3 linked regions of the Callithrix jacchus genome follow. The protein of the gene in region 3 purifies or fractionates together with the protein of the main gene of each other region. This does not show direct contact. Links are inferred from orthologs where the notes say so. Each region holds a gene or a part of one and is shown on either strand. Other genes may lie near its edges.

The links. Proteins that work in one complex are often made in the same cells at the same time.
Region 1: the proteins of MMS19 (region 3) and DNA2 purify together in Homo sapiens (affinity purification with mass spectrometry; 3 studies listed by BioGRID and IntAct, counting the BioPlex papers as one, with this or other methods). This does not show direct contact. The link is inferred for Callithrix jacchus from reciprocal best matches to the Homo sapiens genes MMS19 and DNA2.
Region 2: the proteins of MMS19 (region 3) and RTEL1 purify together in Homo sapiens (affinity purification with western blotting; 4 studies listed by BioGRID and IntAct, with this or other methods). This does not show direct contact. The link is inferred for Callithrix jacchus from reciprocal best matches to the Homo sapiens genes MMS19 and RTEL1.

Annotation. Positions count from the first base shown.
Region 1 is NC_133513.1:61,978,848-61,984,551, reverse strand, and holds part of DNA2 (DNA replication ATP-dependent helicase/nuclease DNA2), read right to left. Parts: intron 2,919-5,704; coding exon 2,688-2,918; intron 1-2,687. UniProt on the Homo sapiens protein: Key enzyme involved in DNA replication and DNA repair in nucleus and mitochondrion.
Region 2 is NC_133506.1:59,155,438-59,161,141, forward strand, and holds part of RTEL1 (regulator of telomere elongation helicase 1), read left to right. Parts: coding exon 1-175; intron 176-519; coding exon 520-613; intron 614-1,309; coding exon 1,310-1,391; intron 1,392-1,589; coding exon 1,590-1,650; intron 1,651-4,764; coding exon 4,765-4,840; intron 4,841-5,704. UniProt on the Homo sapiens protein: A probable ATP-dependent DNA helicase implicated in telomere-length regulation, DNA repair and the maintenance of genomic stability. Acts as an anti-recombinase to counteract toxic recombination and limit crossover during meiosis.
Region 3 is NC_133513.1:90,278,633-90,282,995, forward strand, and holds the end of MMS19 (MMS19 nucleotide excision repair protein homolog), read right to left. Parts: coding exon 4,321-4,363; intron 4,165-4,320; coding exon 4,108-4,164; intron 3,668-4,107; coding exon 3,481-3,667; intron 3,180-3,480; coding exon 3,097-3,179; intron 2,971-3,096; coding exon 2,806-2,970; intron 2,727-2,805; coding exon 2,667-2,726; intron 2,362-2,666; coding exon 2,261-2,361; intron 2,181-2,260; coding exon 2,153-2,180; 3' UTR 1,799-2,152; downstream 1-1,798. Other genes in the region: palmitoyltransferase ZDHHC16, read left to right, coding at 634-748. UniProt on the Homo sapiens protein: Key component of the cytosolic iron-sulfur protein assembly (CIA) complex, a multiprotein complex that mediates the incorporation of iron-sulfur cluster into apoproteins specifically involved in DNA metabolism and genomic integrity.

The DNA.
Region 1 (5,704 bases), about 28 Mb from region 3:
TATCCATACAACAGAATACATTCAGCCATAAAAAAATGAGGGTCTCATATATGCTGAAACGTGAATGAACCTTGCAAACATTAGGCTAAGTGAAAGAAGCCAGACACAAAAGGTCACATAATGAATGGTTCTACTTATATCATATATCCAGAATAGATGAATCCATACAGAAAGAAAGCCAATTAGTAGTTGCCAGGGAGTTGAGGGAGGAGAGAGGGGATAGGAATGACGTTTCCTTTTAGGGTGATAAACGTGTCTTAGAAATAGAGGGAAGTGATGGTTGCACAATATTGGGAATACACTAAACACCAATTATATACATTAAAATGGTTAATGATCAATTGTATGTTATATACTTTTTTTTTTTTTATTTTTTGAGACAGAGTTTTGCTCTTGTTGCCCAGGCTGGAGTGCAATGACATGATCTTGGCTCACTTCAATCTCCACTTCCCAGATTCAAGCAATTCTCCTGCCTCAGCCTCTTGAGTAGCTAGGATAGGGGGGTGGGGGCAGAAGCTCATTATCACTGGTCATTAGAGAAATGCAAATCAAAATCACATTGAGATACCATCTCACTCCAGTTAGAATGGCAATCGTTAAAAAATCAGGAGACAGCTGGGCATGGTGGCTCATGCCTGTAATCCCAGCACTTTGGGAGGCCAAGGCAGGCAGATCACGAGGTCAGATCAAGACCATCCTGGCCAACACAGTGAAACCCCATCTCTACTAAAAATACAAAAAATTAGCTGGGTACAGTGGCAGGCGCCTGTAATCCCAGCTATCAGGAGGCTGAGGGAGGAGAATCGCTTGAACCCAGGAGGCAGAGGTTGCAGTGAGCCATTGCACTTCAGCCTGGGCAACACAGCAAGATTCTGTCTCAAAAAAAAAAAAATTCAGGAGACAGATGCTAGAGAGGATGTGGAGAAATAGAAACACTTTTACACTGTTGGTGGGAGTGTAAATTAGTTCAACCATTGTGGAAGACTGTGGTGATTCCTCAAGGATCTAGAAACAGGAATACCATTTGACCCAGCAATCCCATTACTGGGTAGACACCAAAAGGATTATAAATCACTCTATTATAAAGACATATGCACACGTTTATTACAGGACTGTTCACAATAGCAAAGACTTGGAACCAACCCAAATGCCCATCAATGAGAGACTGGATAAAGAAAATATGGCACATACACACCATGGAATAATATGCGGCCATGAAAAAGGATGAGTTCATGTCCTTGGCAGGGACATGGATAAAACTGGAAACCATCATTCTCAGCAAACCGACACAAGAACAGAAAAACAAAGACTGCATGTCCTCACTCATAAGTGGGTGGTGAACAATGAGAACACATGGACACAGGGGAGGGAACATCACACATCAAGGCCGTTCAGAGGGTGGGTGCTAGGGGAGGAATAGCAGGGGGTAGGGGGATAGGGGAGGTATAGCATTAGGAGAAATACCTAATGTAGATGAAGGGGTGATGGATGCAGCAAACCACCATGGCACATGTATTACTATGTAACAAACTGGCATGTTCAGTACACATACCCCCAAACTTAAAGTAAAATAAAATTCAAAAAGAGAAAAAAAAAGCTGGGTGCAGTGGCTCATGCCTGTAATCCCAGCACTTTGGGAGGCCAAGGCGGGTGTATCACGAGGTCAAGAGATCAAGACCATCCTGGTCAACATGGTGAAACCCCGTCTCTACTAAAAATACAAAAAATTAGCTGGGCGTGGTGCCGCGTGCCTGTAATCCCAGCCACTCAGGAGGCTGAGGCAGGAGAATTGCCTGAACCCAGGAGGCGGAGGTTGCGATGAGCCGAGATTGCGCCATTGCACTCCAGCCTGGGTAACAAGAAAAAAACTCCGTCTCAAAAAAAAAAAAGAAAAAAAAAAGAACTTTCATTCCAACCTCAAATAAATAAATAAATAAATAAATAAATAAAATGGTTAATGATCAATTTTATGTTATATATTTATTTTTTTTTTGAGACAGAGTTTCGCTCTTATTACTCAGGCTAGAATGGAATGGCACGATCTTGGCTCACTGCAATCTCCATCTCCTGGGTTCAAGCGATTCTCTTGCCTCAGCCTCCCAAGCAGCTGGGATTACAGGCATCCACCACCACGCCCAGCTAATTTTATATTTTTAGTAGTGATGGGGTTTCACCATGTTGGCCAAGCTGGTCTTGAACTCCTGACCTTAGGTGATCTACCCACCGCAGCCTCCCAAAGTGCTGGGATTACAGGCTTGAGCCACTGCACCCAGCAAATTTATTTTAAAAAAGGAATAAAATGCTGATACGTAAGTTACAACGTGAAGACGAATTTCAAAAACAGCATGCTGCGTGAAAAAAGCCAGTCATCAAAGACCACATATTGCATGATTCTATTTATATGAAATGCCCAGAGTGGGCAAATCTACAGAGACAGAAAGTAGGTTAGTGGTTGCCTTGGGCTGAGGGAATTGGAGGAAAATGAGAAGTGACTACTAAAGGGTATAGGGCTTCTTTCTTGGGGGTTCGTTTTGGGGTGACGAAAATGCTAAAAATTGATTGTGGTGATGGCTGCACAACTCTGTGAATATACTAAAAACCACTAAATTGCACTTTAAATAATGAACTACACAGATATGAGTTATACATCAATAAAGCTGTTACAAAAAAAAGTAACATTTCATTACCTGTCTAATAAACAAGTTACTGTTGTCATGTTAACCTCCTTCACATATCCTCTACACAAAGCAAATAGTGATCTTTCTTCTCCACTCACAATAATTCTGTCACCTGCCATTAGATTTGTGACAGGTATGGCACCATTTTTATGTTGGAAATTATGTAAATACTGTCCATCACAAACTGTCTTTACATGTTCCATTCGAATCAAGTTTCCAATGCAACTGCCACCCTTCTCCCTATGAAAAAGACCAAAGAGAAAAAGCTTCCGTTTATGTTACATATGTAAGTATTGTCCTTGTATTTTCCTTGTACATATGTAAGTATTGTGCTTGCATTTTCAGATGAACTTACTCGTTCATCTGAGCCCTAAAAACTAATACTGAGCCTGTCATTTTTACATTTTCCACAACCTTCAATAAAGTGTTAGAAATGTTAAGTAAACATTCTATCAGTTTTGGGCTTTTGGAAACAACCTCCAACCCCTCCGGGTCAACTAATTCTCATGCTGCAGACTTCCAAGTAGCTAGGATTACAAGCGTATGCCACCATGCCAAGCTAGTATTTTGTAATTTTAGTAGAGACAGGGTTTCACCATGTTGACCAGGTGGGTTTTGAACTCCTGGCCTTAAGTGACCCACCCGCCTCAGCCTCCCAAAGTGCTGGGATTACAAGCCTGAGCCACCATGCTTGCCCTATCATTAGTTTTTAATGTATTGCTCAACTGTTGTTGAAACTAAAGCAATTTTACAGTCTTGTAGGAAAATGCTAGGGAGCACCCCACTCCTGATGTACCCACGGGCTGGGATCTCTGAACAAGGTGTTTTGTTGCCACTTTGATCCCTGAAAGATAGATACCCCCACCTTTTAAGCTGATACATATAACATTACAGAAAACAAACCATAATAACCTGCTCCTAAATGTGAAATTTTTAAAAATTATAACATATTTCTTTAATATTTACAATAAGATTTATAATAATGACAAGCAAACTGATAATTCCACTGCTTCTAAATGAGTATAAAAGGCCAGGTGTGGTGGCTCACACCTGTAATCTCCGCACTTTGGGAGGCCAAAGTGGGCAAATCACCTGAGGTCAGGAGTTTGAGACCAGTCTGGCTAACATGGTGAAATCCCGTTTCTACTAAAAATACAAAAAATTAACCAGGTGTGCTGTCACATGCCGGTAATCCCAGTTACTTGGGAGGATGAAGGAGGAGAATCACTTGAACCCAGGAGGCAGAGATTGCAGTGAGCCGAGATCGTGCCACTGCACTCCAGTTTGGGCAACAAGAGTGAAATTCCATCTCAAAAGAAAAAAAAAGAAAAAGAAATGAGTATTAAACATTTTAAAACCTCTCTGGCACTACTACAAAATAACATGCAATCTCAGAGGCTTATTGGTATTTACGTAGGTATGACAGATTCACTACACCTTATGCAGTCTAACTACAATTAAATAAACTTACTCCATAGCAATGTTATCTTCTGTTAAAGTCTAATATTGGAGAACTAATGATCCAATTATTTCTAAAGTCATGTCATTAATATTCATTCTGGAAAGAAAAAAAGTGAAACTAAAGCAATTTTTACATTAAAAAAAATTTTGGCTGGGTGAGTGTAATCACAAGGTCAGGAGTTCCAGATCAGCTTGGCCAACATGGCGAAACCCTGTCTCTACTAAAAATACAAAAATTAGCTGGGTATGGTGGCATGCGCCTGTAATCCTAGCTTCTTGGGAGGCTGAGGCATGAGAATTACTGTAACCTGGGAGGTGGAGGCAGCAATGAACCAAGACACTCCCACCTGGGTGACTGAGCAAGACTCTGTCAAAAAAAAAAAGTTTTACATACTATAAAGGGCCTAAGGTTAAAAAAGCTAAAGCAATTACATTTTACATAAATTTTACATGTATATAGTAAACTCACTATACATATGCAGTCTATAATTATATATATATAAACTTTTTCAACTGCAATGTTTCCTTGTATTAAAGTCATTATTAGGTAAATAATGATCCAATTATTTCTAAAGTCACATCATTAATATTCATTCTACAAAGAAAAAATAAGCTAAAGAAATGAAATTTTACATAAAAAAAAATACTATGCAAAGATATACCAAATTCTAGGTGAGGTAGTGGCTTATACCTATAATCTCCGCACTTTGGGAGACCAAGGTGGGAGGATCACTTGAGCCCAGGAGTTTAAGACTAGCCTGGGCAATAGCAAGACTCTGTCTCTATAATAATGTAAAATAAAATAAAATAAAAAATTAGCCGCAGCACAGTGGCTTGCAGGTGTAATACAAGCACTTTGGGTGGTCAAGGTTGGAAGACTGCTTGAGGCCAAGAGTTCAAGACCAGCCTGGGCCACATAGCAAGACCCCTTCTCTAAAAAAAAAAAAAGAACAAAACAAAACAAAAAACAAAAACGGCCAGGCACAGTGGCTCACGCCTGTAATCACAGAACTTTGGGTGGCCAAGGCCTGTGGATCACAAGGTCAGGAGATCGAGACCATCCTGGCCAACATGGTAAAACCCCATCTCTACTAAAGATACAAAAATTAGCAAGTCGTGGTGGCATGTGCCTGTAGTCCCAGCTACTAGGGAAGCCGAGGCAGGAGAATCGCTTGAACCGGGAGGTGGAGGTTGCAGTGAGTGAGATCATGCCACAGCACTCCTGCACTCCAGCCTGGTGACAGAGTACGGCTGTCTCAAAAAAAAAACAAAAACAAAAACAAACAAACAAAAAACATTAGCCAGGGTTGGTGGTATGCACCACTAGCTACTCAGGAGGCTGAGGCAAGATGACCATTTTATCCCAGAAGTTCGAGGCTACAGTGAGCCATGATTGCACCACTATACTCCAGCCAGAAAAGTAATTTTTAAAACAAATTTCTTGAGGCATATTTAGCCTATTGAAACTATATTACTAACTAGCAATGATTCCAGCACATAGGATACATAGTAATGATGCTCTTCTTAGAAACAATGGAGAGCCATCTGCATTTGTCATGAATAAA
Region 2 (5,704 bases), on a different chromosome or scaffold from region 3:
ACGGGCACAGGGAAGACGCTGTGCCTCCTGTGCACCACGCTGGCCTGGCGAGAACACCTCCGAGACACCATCTCTGCCCGCAAGATTGCCGAGAGGCTGCAAGGGGAGCTTTTCCCAGATCGAGCCTTGTCATCCTGGGGCAGTGCTGCTGCTGCTGCTGATGGAGACCCCATAGGTGACCTACTTCCCAGGCCCTTGGCCTCCTGTGGGGACGGTGGGAAAGGGATGGTGCTGAGGGTGGGGTGGTCCACGGGGCCTTCTGCTGTCTCTCAAGCAGAGCTCAAGAATTTTGTAGGTACCACACAATTTCTTGCCATCTTAGGTATAAACCTGGGGTTGGGCTTTTCTGCTGAATTAGGGCACTGGAATACCCATGTCATCCATTTTTGATAAACGAGTATCTGGGGTATCAGATTGTTGGCTGTCTGCAGGGTTGAGTTAGCTGAATGCCACCTGCCTTCGGCACGTGAGAACGTTGTGTGAGAGCCATGACCTGTGTACTTGCTTGTATCTGCTCAGCTTGCTACACGGACGTCCCAAAGATCATTTATGCCTCCAGGACCCACTCACAACTCACCCAGGTCATCAGCGAGCTTCGGAACACCTCCTACCGGTGGGTCAGGCGAGTTCACACCTGTCTCAGGGTCATTGAGAGAACCCAACTTGGCATGGTGCAGGGTACACAGCCCATGCTGTGTAGTGGTGGAGAGTGGTGGTCTTTCTAGACGCTCCCCAGGAGTGTGCAGTGTGCTGGTGCCCAGGGGTAGGCTGGGGCCTGGGCTGCCTCCAGTACCTGTGACTGGTGAGAAATTAGCTTTGCATTTGTGTGCTGACTTTGGGCTGGTGTCTTGAGCTCCTTGCAGGCGGTGGGTGCTGTGGCAGTTGTGGGGCAGGGCCAGACTGCAGTGCAGCTTTGCACATGAAGTGGGAAGAGGCCCTGCCGCTTGTCAGAGCCCAGCAGAGTCTGGTATTCTGTCCTGGTTCCTGTGGCAGGACCGATGGCAGGGTGCTATGGAAGTTGTCGAGTCTTGACCCTCTGTCCAGGCCCCCCCCACTGTCTTCTTGCTCCCTCCCATGCCTGGGCCACGTTGCAGTTATGCTCGCTTCCTCTGGCCACTGAGGCACTTTTGTGTCCTCATACAGCTCACGCTGTGGGAACACTCTGTGACTGTTAGAGGCAGCTCCTCCTCGACCCACGTGCCCTCTCCCACCAGGCCTGAGGGTGTGCTGGGCTCCCACGCATGTGCCCTCTCCCACCAGGCCTGAGGGGTGTGTGCTGGTCTCCCACCCATGTGCCCTCTCCCATCAGGCCTAAGGTGTGTGTGCTGGGCTCCCGGGAGCAGCTGTGCATCCACCCTGAAGTGAAGAAGCAGGAGAGTAACCACATGCAGGTGGGTTCCTGGGCTCCTGTGGTTCAGGATTCCGTGAGGCGAGTGCTGCTGGGTGTCCAGAGCCCCAGGATCTGCTCCCTCTGGGATAGGGTTTGAAGTACACCCGGGGGACTGCAGGGGAGGACCTGGTGGGTGGAGGCTGATTCGGTTCCTTTCTTGGCCGGGCTCTAGCCTCGCACTTTGCCCTTCCTCCCTCAGATCCACTTGTGTCGAAAGAAGGTGGCAAGTCACTCCTGTCATTTCTACAACAACGTAGAAGGTACAAGCAGCTCGTTGCGGCCGGGGTTGGGTTGGAGTGTGTGAGTCTCTCAGGCGGAGCTTGGTGGGGCCGGAGCTGGTGGGACCAGGGTTGGTAGGACCAGGGTCGGTGGGACCAGGGTGGGGTTCAAGTGTGTGAATCTCTCAGGGCAGAGCTCTGTGGTGTCACAGCCTGGTCGTGCTTGCCTGGTGGGATGGCCAGTGCAGTCGTGTACCTGGGCCCTGTCTTCTGACTCGAGGCCTCTGTGATAGGCTCCTGTGTGGAAGAGCTCACACAGTGGTCCAAGACAGCCAGCCGGCAAGACTGGTTGGTGCCTGGGGTCATGGGTTTTGCAAAGGCTCCCTCCGTTTCCTGATGAGGGGCTTCCTGCATCTAAAGTGTTGGTGCAAACAGTAGGGTTTTGCTGAATACCTTCTTTCTCTTCGGGGAGCCTGGGATTTTGTTGCTTGCCCGGCAGTGGGTGCTCCTGGGACTGGCCCTCATACCATTCTGGGAGGGGTCTTGGAAGCTGTGTCTGACCTCCCCCGACCCTGCCCCATGTGTCTTTTTCCTGTGCTGACCTTGCTGTGTACTCCCTTGCTGCGAATAATTACAGCCCCAAGTGTGACTCCAGGCTGAGTCCTGTGGGTCCCACACAGGAGGCCCCGGGGCTTCTTCCAGAGACAGGACGAGTGAGTGAAAGTTATCTACCCGGGGCAGCCACAGCCTGTCAGAGGCCAGGGGTGCTTTTCCACCCACGTGGCTGCTCCTCTGGTGTGTTGGGCTTCTGAGGCTCATCTCAGGGTCCCAGAGGCAGTGGCAGGGTGAGCCCCTGTCTGGTGCCCTTGGTGTTTTCTGTGACCTGAGGTGTCATGTCTGCAGTCGCTGGGGCCTGGGCTTCTGTGGGATCAGGGTTCCCTGTTCCCTGCCTCGGTGGGGCTCGAGCCTCGGCTGATGTGGCCCTGCAGCGTAGAAGGCGGCAGTGGTCCTGTAGGCTGCTGTCTGCAGGATGCTTGTCGAGTGCTCAGTGTGCCAGGACTGAGGACCCTGAAGCTGCCGTGGCATCTAGGACAGTGCTCCCCTGCCAGGGGCGCAGCTGGCTGGTCCCTCGTGACCCACCACCAGGCATTTCTGGACCCTGCCCCTTGAAAAGACAGAGTGGATGGAACCTGGCCCTGCAGGGAGCCCCACTTGCTGAGGTGTGTTCTGTGTAGCTTTCTTCTTTGTTGGTTTTTTGGTCTGGTGACACCGAAGCCCCCAGTCACCTTGATGTGTGGTTGTCCAGGCCTTTCTGGTGGTCCTGAGAAGGGGCTCTGTATCTGAGCCCCAGGTTCCCTGACGGGAGCTGCACGCTTCTCTCAGCAATGCCTGTGGGAGGTGACTCTGGGACGGACAGGCAGATGTGTTGTTGGAAATTGTCAACAGTTGTCATTTCCAAGTTCCTCGCCCGGATAGGACAGGAACGCCTTCTGGGTGTCCCTAGGCCCATGCAGCGGGGTCCTTGGGATAGTGTGGAACGCTGACCATAGGCCTGGCCTGCCATGGTCCTGGACTAGGGCAGTGCCCTATGGCTGCTGGACTTGCTCCCTGGTGAGAGTAGTTGACTGCCTCCTGGTTCTGCTTCCATGGGTGTCAGGCCTATGGGTGTTGAGTCCCCCCTCTTTCTCCTCCCCCAGCCTGTGAGCTCAGTCCAAGAAGACACAGACCAGCCCCCAGCCTGTCTCCCTTGGCTTGGGCTCTCATTGCCTGACCTGCTGGGGTTGCCTAGCTGTGAACCTTGGTGTCCTGTCTGCCCCCTGGATGGGCTGTGAGGGTGGTGTCTGCAGCAGCTGCACAGGCCTGGGCATCTTTGGAGTGGGCTGCAGCTCCAGGAGGGACATGAGAGGAAGGGAGGCAGGTATTTTGGACGAACAAGGAGACAGCTGGAGAGCCTCTGGGACACCCCTGCCCCTCGTCCCCTTCCCCTCGCAGCTCCTGTCCTCGCCCCACCCTCAGCTCTCCACCCGGGAAGGGCTGGAAAGTGCCCATGTGTTGCAGCGCATGCTGATTGGCTGGCCTGTTGCTATGGTGCTGCTAAGGAGTGTGCTTTTCCTCCCCTGCCTTCCCTGCTATCCCTGGGGGCATGTGGGGTTGGGTCATCGCTGGTGTGTAGATGTGTGTGTATGTGTGCGTGCACGTGTGTGTGTGCGCGTGTGTGCGTGCATGCTTCTGGCCTCTGCAGCTGAGTCCTGGGTTGAGTCATCTCTGGGGTGTGTGTATGTGCGTGTGTGCGTGTATGTGTGTACACACTTGCTTCTGGCCTCTGCAGCTGAGTCCTGGCCCTCAGGGGACCTGGCATCTGCTGGGGACTGGCACAAAATAACCATGATGGAGTCGGGAGCTGGGGGAGGCTCCACGGCCACATGTGACTGCCCTAAGACTCTGGGATGCTTGTTAGAAGAGGTCCCTGGTCCTGTCTGTGTTTAAGCAGCTCCTTAAGGAATTCTTGTGGTTCCAGTTTGGGAGCCTGTGCTGTGGAGGCAAGGGAGGGGCAGGCCATCCCCCAAACTCCCTGAGATCTTTTCTGCCCTGGGCCTCTCAGCCAGCATAGGCAGTGCCCTTTCTCATGGCTGCCATGCTGCGGGGGTGGGGGTGGGGCACTGTTTAACACAGGAAAACCTGGTTCTTTTTTAGCTGGAAGTTCTGGGTCTGTTGTGGTTGGCAGGGAAGCTGAGTGACTGGCTGTAATCGCAAGGGTTTGTGAGAGACACCTCTGTGAGCTGGGGCAATAGGCTGAGGGGCTGTCCTTTCCTGCCCTGAGGAGGGCTGGGTATGGCCACCACTCCTGTACTATCTTGAGTTGTCTTGGAGAGGATGTGGAGAACCCTCGGGACCCTGCTGGCCTCTGTTGGATCCACCCTCAGCCTCAGACTGCCTTCTAGGGCAGAGGAGGACTCCCTTGGGATCACTTTGGGTGGGGGCCTCCCTTGGGCACCTGAGACCCTCAGTGGGTGCTTTGTGGCATGTTCCCGGTTGTGGGAGAACGCCCAGCCCTGCCCACTGTGTAGGAGCTGTTCTGTCCTGGGCATCCCCTTGTGGTCTGGGAGACTTAGCGGACCCTGAGGGTATGTGTTTACCCCTGCCTCACACCTACAGAGAAGAGCCTGGAGCAGGAGCTGACCAGCCCCATCCTGGACATCGAGGACTTGGTCAAGAGCGGAAGCAGGCACAGGTGAGACCCGTCAGTGAGGCCACACCCACCATGTCCTTCCACGGCCCAGCTCTCCTGTGGCCTGCTGAACCCCCAATATGTTTCTTTCTTTTTAAATTATGAAACTAACAACCATTCAGTATGAAAAAGTTTCAGCAGCCCTGAGGAACGTAAGTAAAAAGCAAAACTGCCTCCCTAGTCCCTGGCCCTCAGCCACCCCAGATGGCCACTGTGGCCCCTGTGTCTGCTGTGGAGGCTTTGTCTGCCATTTTCCGTTTTCACAGCATTGTGAATAGCTTCTCACACTGGTGCTGGTAGCTTGGCCTCGTTCTTTTGAGGACAGCAGATATGTCCGACATCAATAGATTATAGCTTCAGAGATTCAAGTTGTAATAAAGCTTTTCTTATATTTAGGGTGAAAAGCTCCCCTCCCCCCTTTTTTTGTGAGACAGAGTCTAGCTCTGTTTCCTAGGCTGGAGTGCAGAGTCGGGATCTCGGCCCACTGCAGCCTCAACCTCCCAGGCTCAAGCGATTCTCCCAGCTGAGCCTCCCAAGTAGCAGGGACTACAGGCACGCACCACCATTCCTGGTTAATTTTTGTATTTTTTGTACAGACAGGGTCTCACTGTGTTGCCCAGGCCAGTCTCAAACTCCTGAGCTCAAGATACCTGCCCACCTTCGCCTCCCAAAGTGATGGGATTACAGGCGTGAGCCACTGCACCTTACCAGCTCTGCTTTTTTTTTAGTGCTTCTGTGTTGTGTTTGTTTCTGATGACCTCTATTCGGGAATAGGGTTGTTTTTTCTTTTCCATTGAGTTTTTGTTGTTGTTGTTTTTATAGAGACAGGGTTTCACCATGTTGGTCAGGCTGGTCTTGAATTCCCCA
Region 3 (4,363 bases):
CGGTGTTAGTGCAGTTCTAGACTCTAGGAAGAGAGATCATTGTTCATGTGAGCCAGAGAGGCTTGAGGCTAACACTGTAGTTGTAAGTAACCGATGAGGCTTCAACATGACTACAGTAGAATCCTAGGAAAGCTGTGCTCAGGAAGGGGCCTTTGGGTGTAGGATGCATTGGCCACCAATCACCTCTCACTTGGTGAGCAGTGTGTAGAGTTCAAGCCAATAATTTGTGAGATTAAAATAACCTATTTGTGACAGAGGCCCTAAGACAGTAATTGGAGCTAGCTCGCTCAGCCCAAGACAAGGGGAAACAGTTTTTCAAATGGCGGTTACTGAGGCATTAACAATCAGATGAGTGGACGTGCCTTCCCTCCTCCCTTTCCCATGCATGTGACACTCCTCCTATCACTGTGCTTACAGTGGCCCTTTAGAAGTTTAGCATGAAACCTCAACAGGCCTTCAAGGCACCAGAAGGTACAATTTGTTGGATAAAATTGGATAGAAGAAATTAGAACTTTTGTTACCTTCATGATTGACACCGAGGTAGCTTCAGGATACCTTGATGTATGCTTGCCAGGGAATGATTAAGGACCAAGAATTCTTGGAACTCAGACAGATTTCTCTCTTCTCTTCTAGGCATTGGCTTACTCGGGTGCTCTTACCTTCTAGTCACCTGCCCCATGGGAATGGAATGAGCTGGGAGCCCCCTCCCTGGGTGACTGCTCACTCAGCCTCTGTGATGGCAGTGTGAGCTAGATTGTGTCAGCCACAACTCGAGCACTCATTCTGCTTCCTATGTTATTTTAAGGGCCTCCAAGGGCAGCTTTTCTTGGAATCCTTGATCAAAAAGAGCCAGTGGGCCTGCCTTAGGGTACCATGCAGGACAATTCAAGGACCAGCCTTTTCACCACTGCAGAAGCAAGACACAATGTGGATAAATCTTAGGACTGACATCCCTTTACTCAGGCAAACAGAAGTTCCAGCCCCAGACTAGGGGTCAGGCAGCTAGCTACCTACCTTACCCAGTGCTGACCCAGACCTCCTCCAGGATACAGCATTGGAGTTGGCCACCACCTCTACTTGCTGTCTGAAAAAATACCTGACTAGTACAGCTGAGATCCTGGCTTCTCAACAGGACAAAGATACCAGGCCTGCTGCTGAGGTCACTGCCACTTCTCACATGCTGCTGAAGGGAGCAAAAAATAAAGGCATTCGATTTTTAAAGGTATGTAGCTCCTCACTCTGCCTCACAATAGGGTGGGGAAGGGGAAAATCAGTGTCAAGACCTAGTGAGTAGGTATTCTGGTCATGCCTCTTACACTTTGGCATGATCTCAACTCACTGCAACCTCCGCCTCCCAGGTTGAAGCGATTCTTGTGCCTCAGCCTCCCAAGTAAAGGCGTGTGCCACCACACCTGGTTAATTTTTGCATTTTTAGTAGACATGGGGTTTAACCAAGTTGCCCAGTATTGAACTCCTGACCTCCAGTGATCCACCCCCCTTGGCCTCCCAAAATGCTGGGATTACAGGCGTAAGCCACCATGCCCAGCCGAATTTTTTAAATTATTTGTGGAGATGGGTTCTTGCTATATTGCCCAGGACCAGTCTCAAACTCCCTGCCTCAAGCAATCCTCCTGCTTCAGTCTCCTAAAGTGTTGGGGTTACAGGCATGAGCTACTTTGTTGGTTACCCTGAAAAATTTTTGGCCAGTCCCTGTCATCATTGTTCTTCCAGCTTAGTTTAGTAATGCCTCTGGTTCTACGAGGCATATGTTGGGTGGGGGAAATGTCTGACAGTCCCATTACCAAAAGACATCTTTATTCTTCAGCAGGTGCACACACAGCCACCACCCCTGGTCCTCAGGGCCACAGTCATATGCACTCACCCCTCAGCAGCATATTACCCCTTCTCTGACATACAAATGCAAGAGACCCAAGACCCTAGATCTTTCTTCAAACACAAGTGTCTCACAGTTAATGCACAAATCCACTAGAAATCTGGACCTTATGCTCCATGCAACAGAAGCCTAGCATTTGTGCTGTGTCTGTAGGAAAGGCAGGCAGAGGCCAGCAGTTTCCCTGCTTTGGGGATGATGGCTCCATAGTTAGTAATTCCAGGTTAGATTGTCAGAACAGTCTAGGCCAGGACTGACAGCTCAGCTGCCAGGGCTCCCCAACAGAAACCTGTAGGCAAAAAGAAAGTTGGCAGCATTAGTGGTAAGGCTCATCTCGGTCCCATTTCTCCCCATGGCCTAGAAACTCACCACTCCCCTCTGGCTGACACTGCTTCCTTGCGCACCAGTCTCTTCTTGTCATCCAAGGGTTTGGCTAAGGCTCGGATCACCTGTGGTTTGTATGGCAGCAGCTGTGGAGTCAGAGGATATAATCAACCTTGCTCATCCAAGGCAACTGAAAGTGCCCCTTTTTTGATTCTGTACAACTAATATTCTGAGGAAACTGAAACATCTTTAGTGATTCCAAGGGATGGCCATTCTGTTACCTTCTGGGCCCAAGGAAAAGAATCCTTGCTTATCTGTACCTTGTAATTCAGATCTCAATTACACAGCAGGGTGTAATTGAAACAGCCAAGCCCACTCGACTAAGGCAAAAAGGTATTTATCTGTCTCTTGAGACGGTCCCAGGCCAGAGAGGGGCACCTGAGGTACTTACCACAGGGGTGGGCAAGCGAGTGAGAGCATGCATGCACTGCAGTGCGGCGATCCGGACGGCCTGGAACACAACCACAAGGAGGTGAGAGCAGACCCAGGGAGAGCTGCTGGTTCCTGAGAGTTGCTGGGGCTCAACATACCATGGAAGGGCTAGAGGTGAGGTTCAGAAACTTGGTGACGAGAGTGTCCACGTGAAGACTCATGACTTGGGGTGCTTCCAGTAGAAGAGGCTGAAGGCAGCTGAGGGTAGAGAGCTGTACCACACAGTCAGGGCAGGACAGGGCCTCCAGCAGCAAGGAAAGAAGCTAAGGGGCAATGGGCAAGGTGTGGGATGGCCACATCATGCAGATCCTGGTTCTTGTACCCTCCCTTTCTAGCCCCATCTGGGAAAGAATTGTCCTTCGCTTAGAGGTTCTACCTGCAGGACTTACTGTGGGCAGCTCTGGCAAGAGCACAGGCTTGGGCAGCCTGTTAAGTACATGAGAAAGACCCTTCAAGTAGTTTGGCTTCACACCTGTAAAAAAATGGGAAAGCTTAGGAGAGAAATTGGGCTTAGATACATAGCTTGAGAATTCAATTCCGATCTGTGATGAGGTTGAGACATCAGCCTACAAAGGGGTGAAAAGCCCTTCATGTTTAGAATAAACAAGATACACCCACAAAGGAAGAAGTGGGACAAGAATCTAGAAGTTCAGTCTCCTAGGCACAGACCACAATATAGCTCTAAAGAAGCAAGCAGGTCCTAAGTTATCGGGTAATGTGGACAAGCAAAGGAGAGGTGTGTATGTGTGGGGCCTTTCTTTCAGACTCCTCACCTTGGGGAGCAGCATGGAAGCCCTGGACCAAAGCAGGCACATTATCTGTGAAGAAGCGCTGGCGGAACATGATCCGCACTTCAGCATGGCCAGCACGAGTCAACACATCAGTGCAGTCAGACATGAGCAGAGAGAAGCCATCAGCTGCTGCTGGACCTAATTCTGGGTCACTCAGGAGGCCCATGAGCTGGAGAAAAGAGAGCCTTTGAGGTACATCAGGGAAGAAGTGTCAAAGACGAGGATGGGGCTGGGTGTGTTGGCTTACCCTTGTAATCTTAGCACTTTTTGGAGGCCAAGGCAGGTGGATTGCTTGAGCCTAGGAGTCTGGGCAACATGGCTAAACCCTGTTCTCACAAAAATTAGCTGGGTGTGGTGGGGTGTGCCTACATCCCAGCTACTTGGGAGGCTGAGGTGGGAGGATCACCTGAGCCTACAGCAGATGAGGTTGCAGTGGGCTGTGATCACCCCACTGCACCCCAGCCTGGGCAACTGTGTGTGAGCCCATCTCAAAAAAACCCAAAATACACACACACACACACACACGAGGATAGACGTCTTTGGGAGGAATAGAATTATCAAGAAAGTTTGTTTAAGTCCTGGGTTCTCCTGTCTCCAGAAAGAACATACCTGGGTTGTAAGGCAGGAGCTGAGAGGATGGTATCTGAGCACTAGGGCCTTCGTTACCTGTAATTGGAGACAGAAAGAGCAATTGGGGAATGACACTCAAACCCCAGAACCCTGAGACACAGAAGTTTATGGTTTGGAGTCAAATAGGGACATTTTGTTTAACCAGACATAATTGCCTCTCTGTCTAACCAGATTCCACCCCCAACTCCTTACCCAGAGAAGAAGAGTGAAGGCCTGACTACGACAGGGCCCAGAG